4 linked regions of the Saccharomyces cerevisiae S288C genome follow. The protein of the gene in region 2 purifies or fractionates together with the protein of the main gene of each other region. This does not show direct contact. Each region holds a gene or a part of one and is shown on either strand. Other genes may lie near its edges.

What was found.
Region 1: the proteins of COX8 (region 2) and COX13 purify together in Saccharomyces cerevisiae (affinity purification with mass spectrometry; 2 studies listed by BioGRID). This does not show direct contact.
Region 3: the proteins of COX8 (region 2) and COX3 purify together in Saccharomyces cerevisiae (affinity purification with western blotting; 2 studies listed by BioGRID, with this or other methods). This does not show direct contact.
Region 4: the proteins of COX8 (region 2) and COX2 purify together in Saccharomyces cerevisiae (affinity purification with mass spectrometry; 4 studies listed by BioGRID, with this or other methods). This does not show direct contact.

What each region holds. Positions count from the first base shown.
Region 1 is NC_001139.9:142,883-145,768, reverse strand, and holds COX13 (cytochrome c oxidase subunit VIa), read right to left. Parts: upstream 962-2,886; coding exon 572-961; downstream 1-571. Other genes in the region: IME4 (mRNA (N6-adenosine)-methyltransferase), read right to left, coding at 1,721-2,886. UniProt on the Saccharomyces cerevisiae protein: Component of the cytochrome c oxidase, the last enzyme in the mitochondrial electron transport chain which drives oxidative phosphorylation.
Region 2 is NC_001144.5:909,141-911,811, forward strand, and holds COX8 (cytochrome c oxidase subunit VIII), read right to left. Parts: upstream 826-2,671; coding exon 589-825; downstream 1-588. Other genes in the region: SUMO ligase CST9, read left to right, coding at 1-258; tethering complex ATP-binding subunit VPS33, read right to left, coding at 1,095-2,671. UniProt on the Saccharomyces cerevisiae protein: Component of the cytochrome c oxidase, the last enzyme in the mitochondrial electron transport chain which drives oxidative phosphorylation.
Region 3 is NC_001224.1:77,444-80,575, forward strand, and holds COX3 (cytochrome c oxidase subunit 3), read left to right. Parts: upstream 1-1,769; coding exon 1,770-2,579; downstream 2,580-3,132. UniProt on the Saccharomyces cerevisiae protein: Component of the cytochrome c oxidase, the last enzyme in the mitochondrial electron transport chain which drives oxidative phosphorylation.
Region 4 is NC_001224.1:72,093-75,029, reverse strand, and holds COX2 (cytochrome c oxidase subunit 2), read right to left. Parts: upstream 1,273-2,937; coding exon 517-1,272; downstream 1-516. Other genes in the region: Q0255 (maturase-like protein), read right to left, coding at 1-535. UniProt on the Saccharomyces cerevisiae protein: Component of the cytochrome c oxidase, the last enzyme in the mitochondrial electron transport chain which drives oxidative phosphorylation.

The sequences.
Region 1 (2,886 bases), on a different chromosome or scaffold from region 2:
ATATCTTCCCCACATACTACTACTGTTTTAATTGAAATTTAAATTGAACTTGAATTCAAATTTTTTAGATTTAGATTTGCCCCTCATTGAAAATCTTTCTATCTTTATTTTTTTATTTTATCTTCTCTACTTATATTTTTATTCTACTTCAAGCGTGTTTTATTATCATTATTCTGAGACTTATACCATTTTCTTTCGTTTTTTTTCTGATTAGCTATCTTATAAACACTGTATCAATTATTAATCCGACATCCCTTTATCAGGACTTCTTTCATCACTTCACCAAAACGCGTGGAACATAAAAATAAAACGTCTTAAATTCTTCTTCATAGGTGCATGTTTATGTTTTTAAATGCTTATACATTTGCAATATAATTATATATATATAGATGTTTAAGAACGGAATGATGCTTCGCCGCCCAAAATACCTAGTACCTTTAGTTCCTATCAAAGGATTAATCTTTTTTTATTTTGAATTTTTTTTATCGAATATAAAAGAAATAAGTAAGAATTAGTAAAATTATCATAAATAAAAATTTTTCGAAAAGTTTATTCTCACTTAATCAATTAATTAATCGTCGTGCTCGATGTGCCTGTTGACAACAGGATTCCAGAATAATGTCTTATCACCGTCACCCCAGAAAAAAGGCTTAGACCTGATATTCATAAACTCGTAATCCCTTGGCCATTCGGAGTCTGGCACATGTTTCAAATGTTCACGATGCTCAGCATGCTCCTTTTCAACAAAGTATGTGTTCACAGCTGTTAAAGCAATTGCTGGTAGGGCGACCCAAACTGAGATTTTAACCCACATATTAGATGTGTCCTTCGCATGCTTTTCAGTGGCCATTAATGATTCTTTAAATTTTTGAGCTGCCACTTTATCTGGTGGGCCAAATGCAGGTTTCAAAGCATTTGGGGGTAATGAAGATGCATATCTCTTAGCACACTGTCTAAACATTTTTCTATTGTTTGTTATTTGTATAACTGTAGAACTGTAGTAATATGATTTTAAATCTAGATAAAACACATGCGATGTGTAGTGAAAACGTTCAAGGCAACGTGTATGTTTGTTATATTTAATGTATCCCGTCACTCATCGTGATCACATCCCAGCTGGGGGTTATTTTTCGATTCTCTTAGACCGATACTCCCAGTACCGCCTCTCATTGGTGGGAAAAAAAATTACCCGAAATTACTATATTGTGTCAATACCGCACCATATCACTACATTCATAGCGGTATAATCGAAAGGATAGCGGCGTTGGGTTACTACTATCGTCTACCTATTCAGCAGGATAGCTTACTCTGTATTAGCAAATAATAGTCGTTCTTCGCTATTCCCACAGTTTCCAGTAAGAACGATTGGAGTAGAAAAAAAGAATGGTAGAATGCGCCATGGGAAAGAACCGACCAAGAGTGGGAGCAAATAAGTCAAGTAATTACATTAGTAGTGTTTAATGGTTGAAAATATGGCCAGAACTAGTATTAGCTTTCTCCAGGCGACAACAATTTTTAAACATCCGGGTAATAAATTGTTCCAGTTGATGTAAAAAAATACACGGACTCGGATAATAATTATTGGACATAAACCATATCCTTCTCTATTCCAAAGTTTGTCTAATACAGACCAGGAAACCATTTACTTCCCGCTGCAGTCTTTTTTATGACCATCTTTTTTATGCAATGCTATTAATGTTTAAAAGGATTATTTAACGCTTTACTGAGCAAAATATAGGTTATTTAGTGTTTGGAATTGTTGTTTTTGTTGCTGTTTGGATTCAAAGGGAGTATGTTTTTGATTCATAGGATTCTGCTTGGCCTCAGCATAATACTTACCACTCCCCATATCCATATTATTCCAATACTGCTGCTGATGCTGCTGCTGTAATTTTGAAGGTTGCTTTTTGTCGATTTTTTTAGTACCAGTGTGGCTGGTTCCAGTTTTGCTCTTCATAAACTCCTGGTACTTCCTCTCGACATCCATTTCGTAAATGCAATTTCCTGTCAACTGGTTTCCGATGGTAAACCAGCCAGGCCGCGTATTGTGATCCCTTCCGAATATCTCTAGTTTTCTGGCATGGGTGCCTGCCAACCGTTCTGCTATACCATACAGTTCATCAGGCTTTCTACTAGTCTCTCTGGTCATTGATACGATCAAATCGACGTCAATATGTTTGTTGATCCACTTTGGATTACCCTTTAAGCCCACCAATAAATGCTCCTTAGAATGATTTAACCAATGACCCGTACGACCTGTAACAATTGTTCTACCCAGTTGGTTTGTCTTTATCCATGAAACTTCATTTATCACGTTGTAACCCCAGTTATTCAAAGACTCTTTACCCAATTCTATAGCTCTACCCGTCACCCAAAGAAAAATAATACCTTCATCTTGTAGTTCGTGCAAAGGCAAACCTAATAGTTCAATATCGTTGCAAGTACCGTATGGTAGGTTCATATGGATATTCCATGCAGGATCTGCAATAACTACCGAAAACTTTCCAAGAACCCTAAAATCAAATTTCCGCACATCGCAACGGATCCACTGTGCAGGTAAAGCCTTTTTGATACAATGTGCGGAGCAATTGCCCAGAGTATAAAATGGAATGGAAACGTTTGACCGTATTCTTTTATTTTCACTCGCAGTTTCACGATCAGCTCGCTCTTGCAAGCATGACGGAATATATTGCAGGTAATGAATGTATCGACACGTATTTAATTTATGACAGGTATCCAAATAGGAACAATCTCCTAACGAAATATCAGTTTGTGGTTTGATATTAGGGATAAAGTGAATTTTTGATTGAATGCACTCAATTAATCCTGGGTGATTTTCCTGACATGCGGATATTTTGGACCATTGTAAAGAAACGATTTTGTTAT
Region 2 (2,671 bases):
AATAATACTATCAGCGGTTCGAATAGAATAACACACAACTTGAGCTCACACGTAAGAAGCAGTGGTCTTGCCTTTTCATCTTCATCGAACTCATTGCAACAAAGTAAACTGCCGAAATCAAATATACTAAAGCGGTCCAATTCAACTCAGCAACTGACTAATACACATTTGAAGAGTGATAATCATCTGCCACCTCGCTCAAGTAATACTGTGTTGGGTAGTAGCAAGAAAAACAATAAGTTTAGAAGGATTAGGTAAATAGGTGTAAGGATTCCCCGTGACGAAAACAGCCTTCAGAATAGATAGAGTATGTTACTGTATTATAAAAGTTATTCTATTTTCTTATGTGTTACTATATATGGTATTATTTTAGAAGAAATTTGTCGAATTATGTTCTTCTTAGATCCTTCTTTCCCGCCGTCTCAATACGAAGGCACAAGGAGAGGATTATGAATATATGAAAAGAAAATTGTACAAATAAATAAAACGATGATATGCGCACCTAGGAATAGCAAAGAACACACTCTAAAACGTCTCAACCAAGCACGCTATGTACACACATCTATCCTTCAAACTTATGGGGGTGTTTTAAAAAGCACCTGACTTTTTCAATTGAACATAGCAGGCAACAAATGGAACAGCAAATCCAATAGCGAAGAACCCGAAATGAGATAAGGCGTAAGGTGTCTTTCTTCCTTTGACTTTGAATGGGATATTTTCATACACACCGTCTTTGAAGTGTACTGACCTCTTCATGATAATAGGTCTGGTCATGATATTGCTACTTCTCTTAGCTGTCGTTCTAATCATCTGTTGGCACAACATTGCGTAATGGAAATGGATAACTTTTCTGTTTAGTTTGCTCTGTGGCTCTATCTAGAAAATTAAAGGATACAAAACTAATTAACCATTCTTATAAATCACTAAGCCAGCACAATGGTTTCTACTGCTGTCAGCCTTTATTTTCAATTTTTCTTAGTCCCCTAGCTTTTCCGTAAACACCGAACACTTCTCTCGTATGATTGGTGCAAACCGTTTGGTGAAAAAAAGCACATTTGCATATACAAAAAATTAACAAATCTATCATATAATAATTAAGATATAGAGTTCATGATCCTTGTGCCATTGATCAAGCCATCGGCGATGATGATAAACCTTTTATTGATACCTTTTTTACCTAGTATTTTTTGCAAATGCTTCATTATAGCTATTTCACCCATTGTTACACCTCCGAGGAATACTACGAGTGCAATATCCTCTGCAGCATGAAATGTCCCATTAGATCCGTCTATGGACCGTCTATTATTGCTCTTGATGCTTGCATTGATCTTTTTTGTAATGGTTCCCGGGACCCATATACTCTCTTCGATCGCATGTGAGTCTCCATATAACTGTTCAATTAAATCCTCCGTTTGAGAAACTCTAGGTTCTCTTGACAGTATAAAAGGCTGCTGCGAGGAATAATTATGGAACAAGATAGACCTATCATATAACATCTGAACCAGTCTCATTGTCAAGGGCACTACACCACTGTAAGCAAAAGTGGCTTCCGAGAAGTCATCGTTCTCATTTGTGATTTTATCGGCAGCATGCTCGTCTTCTATGGGTACTGTATTGAACCATTGTGAAATATAACGGTATTCTTTCTGTAATCTTGTTGACTTACTTGTTGTAATATGCAAATCAGTTTTTCCCGTTTTGCTAGTGAAAAATCCTAACTCAGCCAATGATTCAAGTTGAAAGCATTTTTCAATGCCCCAAGAGTCGATCATAAAGGTTCTTAGATATTCATAATCCTTTTCTCGAAGTGAATTTTTACAAAGAGACAATAAACAGATTAATCTGAGAATCTTCTTTTGATCAACCTCGTACTGGTACTGCAACTCGAGTATAATATCTTCAATGTCGTTATTAAGTGTATTTCCCATCAAAATTTCCAGCTCTAACTCTAAGATTTTATTGAAAGATCCGTACTCTTCAGTCTCTACCACTTTCAAAACGTCGGATGATAAGGTTGTGTGATTTTTCAAAAAAGCTTGCCTTTGTTGCAAAGAACCTAAGGAATCAACGAATTCTTTGATTTCATGTACGCTCTCGGCTTTATGCCTTGTATCATATTGCGTTTGTAGTTCCTTTGCCAATTTATTTAACTGCGGCCCAATCGACCCAAAATTTAAAAATTTCAAATCATTCCATATTTTATCTTCCTTATAATTGAAGTTCATGTCTTTCTCCTTTATCTTTATGCCAGAATTGAATTCATATAGATCATCTAGTATTCCTGCATACGTAAGTTGTGTCAACAATGGCGTTATAGGATCGGTATTCCTTTCCAAGATAATCAAGTCCATTTCTAGTCCACAGTTGGTTCGTTCACCATAAAGCGTACCCTTGATGAATAAATCATTCTCTGTTTGATGCTCATCGATTCGTTTCTTCAAAAGATGGCTACATCTCTTAGACAGATTACCTATCGACACAACATTTGTTATGATACTATTAGTTTCAAAAATCAAGCTCTGCAACGAATTGACCATATCATCAACCAGTATTGACTCTGTGGCACTCTGCAAAGAACGTAAGTTGGGATAATACATGTTTACATTTTCCATGTTATAAAGGGAATGAGTCAATAGAACATTTTCATCAATCTGTGGGAAGGGCAAGAGAT
Region 3 (3,132 bases), on a different chromosome or scaffold from region 2:
AGTGGTAAAGCGATAAATTGAAGATTTATTTACATGTAGTTCGATTCTCATTAAGGGCAATAATAATAATATATTAATTAATAATTAATTTATAATAAATATATTATAATAATTAATATATATATATATAATATATTTAATACAAAGAAAATATATATTATATCTCTTATTTATTTATTTATTAATATTTTAATAAATATAATATTATAAAAAAAAGTTTATATATTTAGTTCCGGGGCCCGGCCACGGGAGCCGGAACCCCGGTAGGAGAAATATAAATATAAATATAAATATAATATAAGTTTGGTATTCATTTAATTATATTATTTAATTAAAAATATTCTAAATAAGAATAAATATCAATAAAGGAGTTATAAATATATATATATATTAATATATATATAAAAATATATATTATTATTAGTTCCCGCTTTGCGGGAACCCCGTAAGGAGTGAGGGACCCCATGGGAACCGAACCCCTATTTAAGAAGGAGTTTTATTATAATAAAATTTATATATATTTAATATATAATTATAAAAATATTATATAATAAATAATAAATAATTATTAATAATAAATAAATATAATAATAATATTATAATAAATTTATAAATGATTATAATAAATTTATATTAATTTTTTATTTTGTAAATACTAAGATTTGAACTTAGATAATATGCACCTAAAAACATACATTTTACCATTAAATTATATTTACCTTATTAATTATATAAAATTTATTAAATATATAATATATTAATTATATAAAAATTATTAAATAAATATATAATATATTATATATAATTTATAATATATATATTATAAATATTATTATATATAAAATATAATATACTACTTATAAAAATATATATATATATATAAATATATATATAAATAAATATTTTATATATTAAATTAAATAATTATTAATAAATTTAATTATAAAGTATAATTTTCAATAGGAATATTTATAAGATTATAATAATTATATGAATTATTATAATTATATATATATAAATAAATAAAATAATAATTATAATAATTAATAAGAGTTTTGGATATATATCTGTGGAGTATATATTTTATAAAGGAGATTAGCTTAATTGGTATAGCATTCGTTTTACACACGAAAGATTATAGGTTCGAACCCTATATTTCCTAAATCTAGATATAATATTATATCTATCTTAATATAATAATATTTATTTATTAAATAAAAAAAAAATAAATAATATTAATTAATATAAGATTCTTTTTTAATTATAATAATAAATAAATAAAAAGAAGATATTATCAATGATTTATATTAATAATAAATATAAATAATAAAAAATATATATAATATAATATAATAAATATATTTCCTTTAATATTAATAAATTAATAATAATAATAATAATAATAATAAAATATTTAAATAAATTATATTCAATACAAATTAATTATTTATATTATTAATAATTGAATAAATAATCCGGTCGAAAGAGATATTAATTCGATTATATTATTTATTTAATTATATTTAATTTAAATATATAAATTAATATATATATATTGAATTATATATAAATTTATTTTATAATTTTATAAATAATATATTATTATAAATATTTAATATAATTTATATTATTATTAAATAAAAGATTTATTAAATTAATATTATTATTTAATTTTATTATATAGTTTAAGGGATAATATTTTATTAATATTTTTTTTATTTATTTATTTAATTATATTATATATATAATATATATATAACAATAAATTTATGACACATTTAGAAAGAAGTAGACATCAACAACATCCATTTCATATGGTTATGCCTTCACCATGACCTATTGTAGTATCATTTGCATTATTATCATTAGCATTATCACTAGCATTAACAATGCATGGTTATATTGGTAATATGAATATGGTATATTTAGCATTATTTGTATTATTAACAAGTTCTATTTTATGATTTAGAGATATTGTAGCTGAAGCTACATATTTAGGTGATCATACTATAGCAGTAAGAAAAGGTATTAATTTAGGTTTCTTAATGTTTGTATTATCTGAAGTATTAATCTTTGCTGGTTTATTCTGAGCTTATTTCCATTCAGCTATGAGTCCTGATGTACTATTAGGTGCATGTTGACCACCCGTAGGTATTGAAGCTGTACAACCTACCGAATTACCTTTATTAAATACTATTATCTTATTATCTTCTGGTGCTACTGTAACTTATAGTCATCATGCCTTAATCGCAGGTAATAGAAATAAAGCCTTATCAGGTTTATTAATTACATTCTGATTAATTGTTATTTTTGTTACTTGTCAATATATTGAATATACTAATGCTGCATTCACTATCTCTGATGGTGTTTATGGTTCAGTATTCTATGCTGGTACAGGATTACATTTCTTACATATGGTAATGTTAGCAGCTATGTTAGGTGTTAATTATTGAAGAATGAGAAATTATCATTTAACAGCTGGACATCATGTTGGATATGAAACAACTATTATTTATCTACATGTTTTAGATGTTATCTGATTATTTTTATACGTAGTCTTCTACTGATGAGGAGTCTAAGGCTATAGAATTATATATCTAAATGATTAATATATATATTATTAATAATTAACAATAATTAATATATTATAATTTATATATATATATTTTATATTATTATAATAATATTCTTACAAATATAATTATTATATATTATTCCTTCAAAACTCCTAACGGGGTTCCCGCGAAGCGGGAACTAATAATAATATAATCATTATACTCTTTTTTCATTTACCTTTTATAAAGATAATTAATAAATTTATTTAATATTTATAAAAAAAAAAATATAATATTAATATAATATAATATAATAATGTAATTATTTATATTTTTATATTCCTTCGAGGTCACCGCCTCACCTCCAGCGGGACTTTTTTAATATGATATAATATAATATAAATATTATTAATTTAACTAATATATAAATTCATATATATATATATATTATTAATATTATTTTATAAAAAATATTTTTTATTTGATTATTATTAAATATTATATAGTTCCGGGGCCCGGCCACGGGAGCCGGAACCCCGAAAGGAGAAATATTAATATATTATAAATATACTATTTA
Region 4 (2,937 bases), on a different chromosome or scaffold from region 2:
ATTTATAATAACTATAATATTTAATTGTTAAACAAGGATACTTATCAAAAATAGTTACAATATTAGAATATAACCATTTCTTTTGTGAATTTACTAATATAATTGTTTTAAGTAGTTCTTCAAAATTAGAAGGTATATTTAATATATTTCTAATCTTTTCTAAACATGCTTTATCATCAATATGTATTCTAAAACCATAAAAAAATCTTAAATATTTTTTATCATTTAATTTAATATAAAAACTACCATCTCCATCTGTAAATCCTACTAATCATTTATAAAAATTATCTATTTCTAAATTATTCTTATTATTATTTTTATTATCTTTTTGAACAATAATTAATTTATTATTTAAAGAAGTATGATAACCTCTTTTAATAATATTTATATTTTTAATATAAGGTGATTGAATAGAATATAAATCTATATCTTTATTATATTTAAGAATATTATTATAATTATTATTATTATTATTATTTTTAATAATTAAAAATATTAATAATAAGTAAATATTAATTATTGTTCATTTAATCATTCCAAAAATTTAGGTAATGATACTGCTTCGATCTTAATTGGCATATTTGCATGACCTGTCCCACACAACTCAGAACATGCTCCATAGAAGACACCTTCTCTTTGAATTAAAGCAGAAACTTGATTTAATCTACCAGGAGTAGCATCAACTTTAATACCTAAACTTGGAATAGCAAAATCATGAATAACATCAGCAGCTGTTACAACGAATCTAATATGTGTATCTACAGGTACAACTATAGAAGTATCAGTATCTAATAATCTTAATTGACCTTCTTCTAATAATTCATCAGGAATAACATATGATTCAAATTCAACAGTTTCACCACTATCATTAATAAAATCTGAATATTCATATTTTCAATATCATTGATATCCAATAGCTTTAATAGTTATAGCTGGTGAAATAACTTCATCACATAAATATAATAAAATAAATGAAGGAAAAGCAATAATTAATAAAATTACAGCTGGAAAAATTGTTCAAATAACTTCAATAGTTTGTCCATGTTTAATATATTTATATGCAATAGGATTTTTTGAATATGTTATAACAATTGTATATAACATTCAAGATACTAAACCTAAAATAACTAATAAATAAAACATAATATTATCATGTAATTCTAAAATACCTTCTTGATTTGGTGTTGCTGAATCCTGAAAATAACATGCATAAGGTGTTGGTACATCATTCATAATGAATGTTGTTAATTGTAATCTTAATAAATCTAACATTTTAATAAATCTTAACCTTTAGACTCTTTTGTCTATTTATAATATGTTAATACTACTTTTAATTAAAATTTATTTATAATTTATTATTATATATTATAAATTAAAATAAAAAATATTATATTATATTATCAACCCCACCTTTTTTTATTAAAAATAATTAAAATTATATATTATTTTTATAAATAATATATATAATATTATTAATCATATAAATATATATTTTATTAAAAAAAAAAAAATACTAAAACTCCTTCGGTCCTCCTCCCGTTAGGGAGGGGTCCCTCACTCCTTACGGGATTCCCGCTTCCCAAAAACTAATAATATTCATATCATATATATTAATATTTATTAAAATATATAATATTTAGATTATATATAATATATATAATTTTTATTATTATAATATATTAGTGATTACCTTATTTATAAAGGTATGAAGCAAGGAGTTATTATTTATTATTATTATTATTATTATTATTATTAATATAATATATATATAATATATTATTAATTTTTATTTATACTCCTTCGGGGTCCCCGCCGGGGCGGGGACTTATATTTATATTATTAATATAATATATATTTAAAAATAAAATAGTCCGCCCCGCGGAGGGGGGCGGGACCCCGAAGGAGTCCGCCCCCCTTTTTATTTTATTTTATTTAATTTTAAAGAAGAAGAATTATTTATATTTATTTATTTATTTATCTCCTTCGGGGTTCCGGCTCCCGTGGCCGGCCCCCGGAACTGTAATAATATATTAATTTAATTAATATTTTTTATAGATAAATATACATTATATGTTTTTATTAATTAATTATTTATTTATTTATTTATAATATATATTTAAATATTATATTATATATATATATTTAAAAGATAAATTATATTTATAATTATTTAATGAACATCTATTTAATAATAATAAAATAGTCCGGCCCGCCCCCGCGGGGCGGACCCCGAAGGAGTCCGGCCGAAGGAGATGTGAATCCTGCTAGGAGGAGTAATTATTTATTAATATTATTTTAATATATATAAATATTATAATCATTATTACTTGTAGAAGGAATTGAACCTTACATTATTTATTTATGAGACAAATGTTTTAACCAATTAAACTATACAAGCTCCTTAATTATAATTATTATTATAATTAATACAATATTTACTCTTTATTATCAATATTTATACCTTATTTTATAAATATAAATAAAAGATATTAATTATTAAAATATTAATAAATATATTCTTTAATAATTTATAATTATAATATAATAATTATAATAATAATAATTTTTAATAAAAAATAAAATAATTATAAAATTATAATCTTATTATATAAAATATATAATATATTTATAATTATTAATAAAAAAGATAATTATATAATTAAAATTAATATATATATATATATATATATAAAGGTATTATTAATTAATTAAAAATATTAATATATTTGTTAATTAAATAAATAAATAAATATAAATATTATCTAATTATAAATTTATTCTTAGTAATTAATATATATATAATATTATATAATATAATATATATAATATAGGTGTTAGTTTAATAATATTCTTTATTATATATAAATATAAATAAGATATCTTATACTATATATTATAATAAATTATAAATAATTAAACATAATAAATATAATTTAT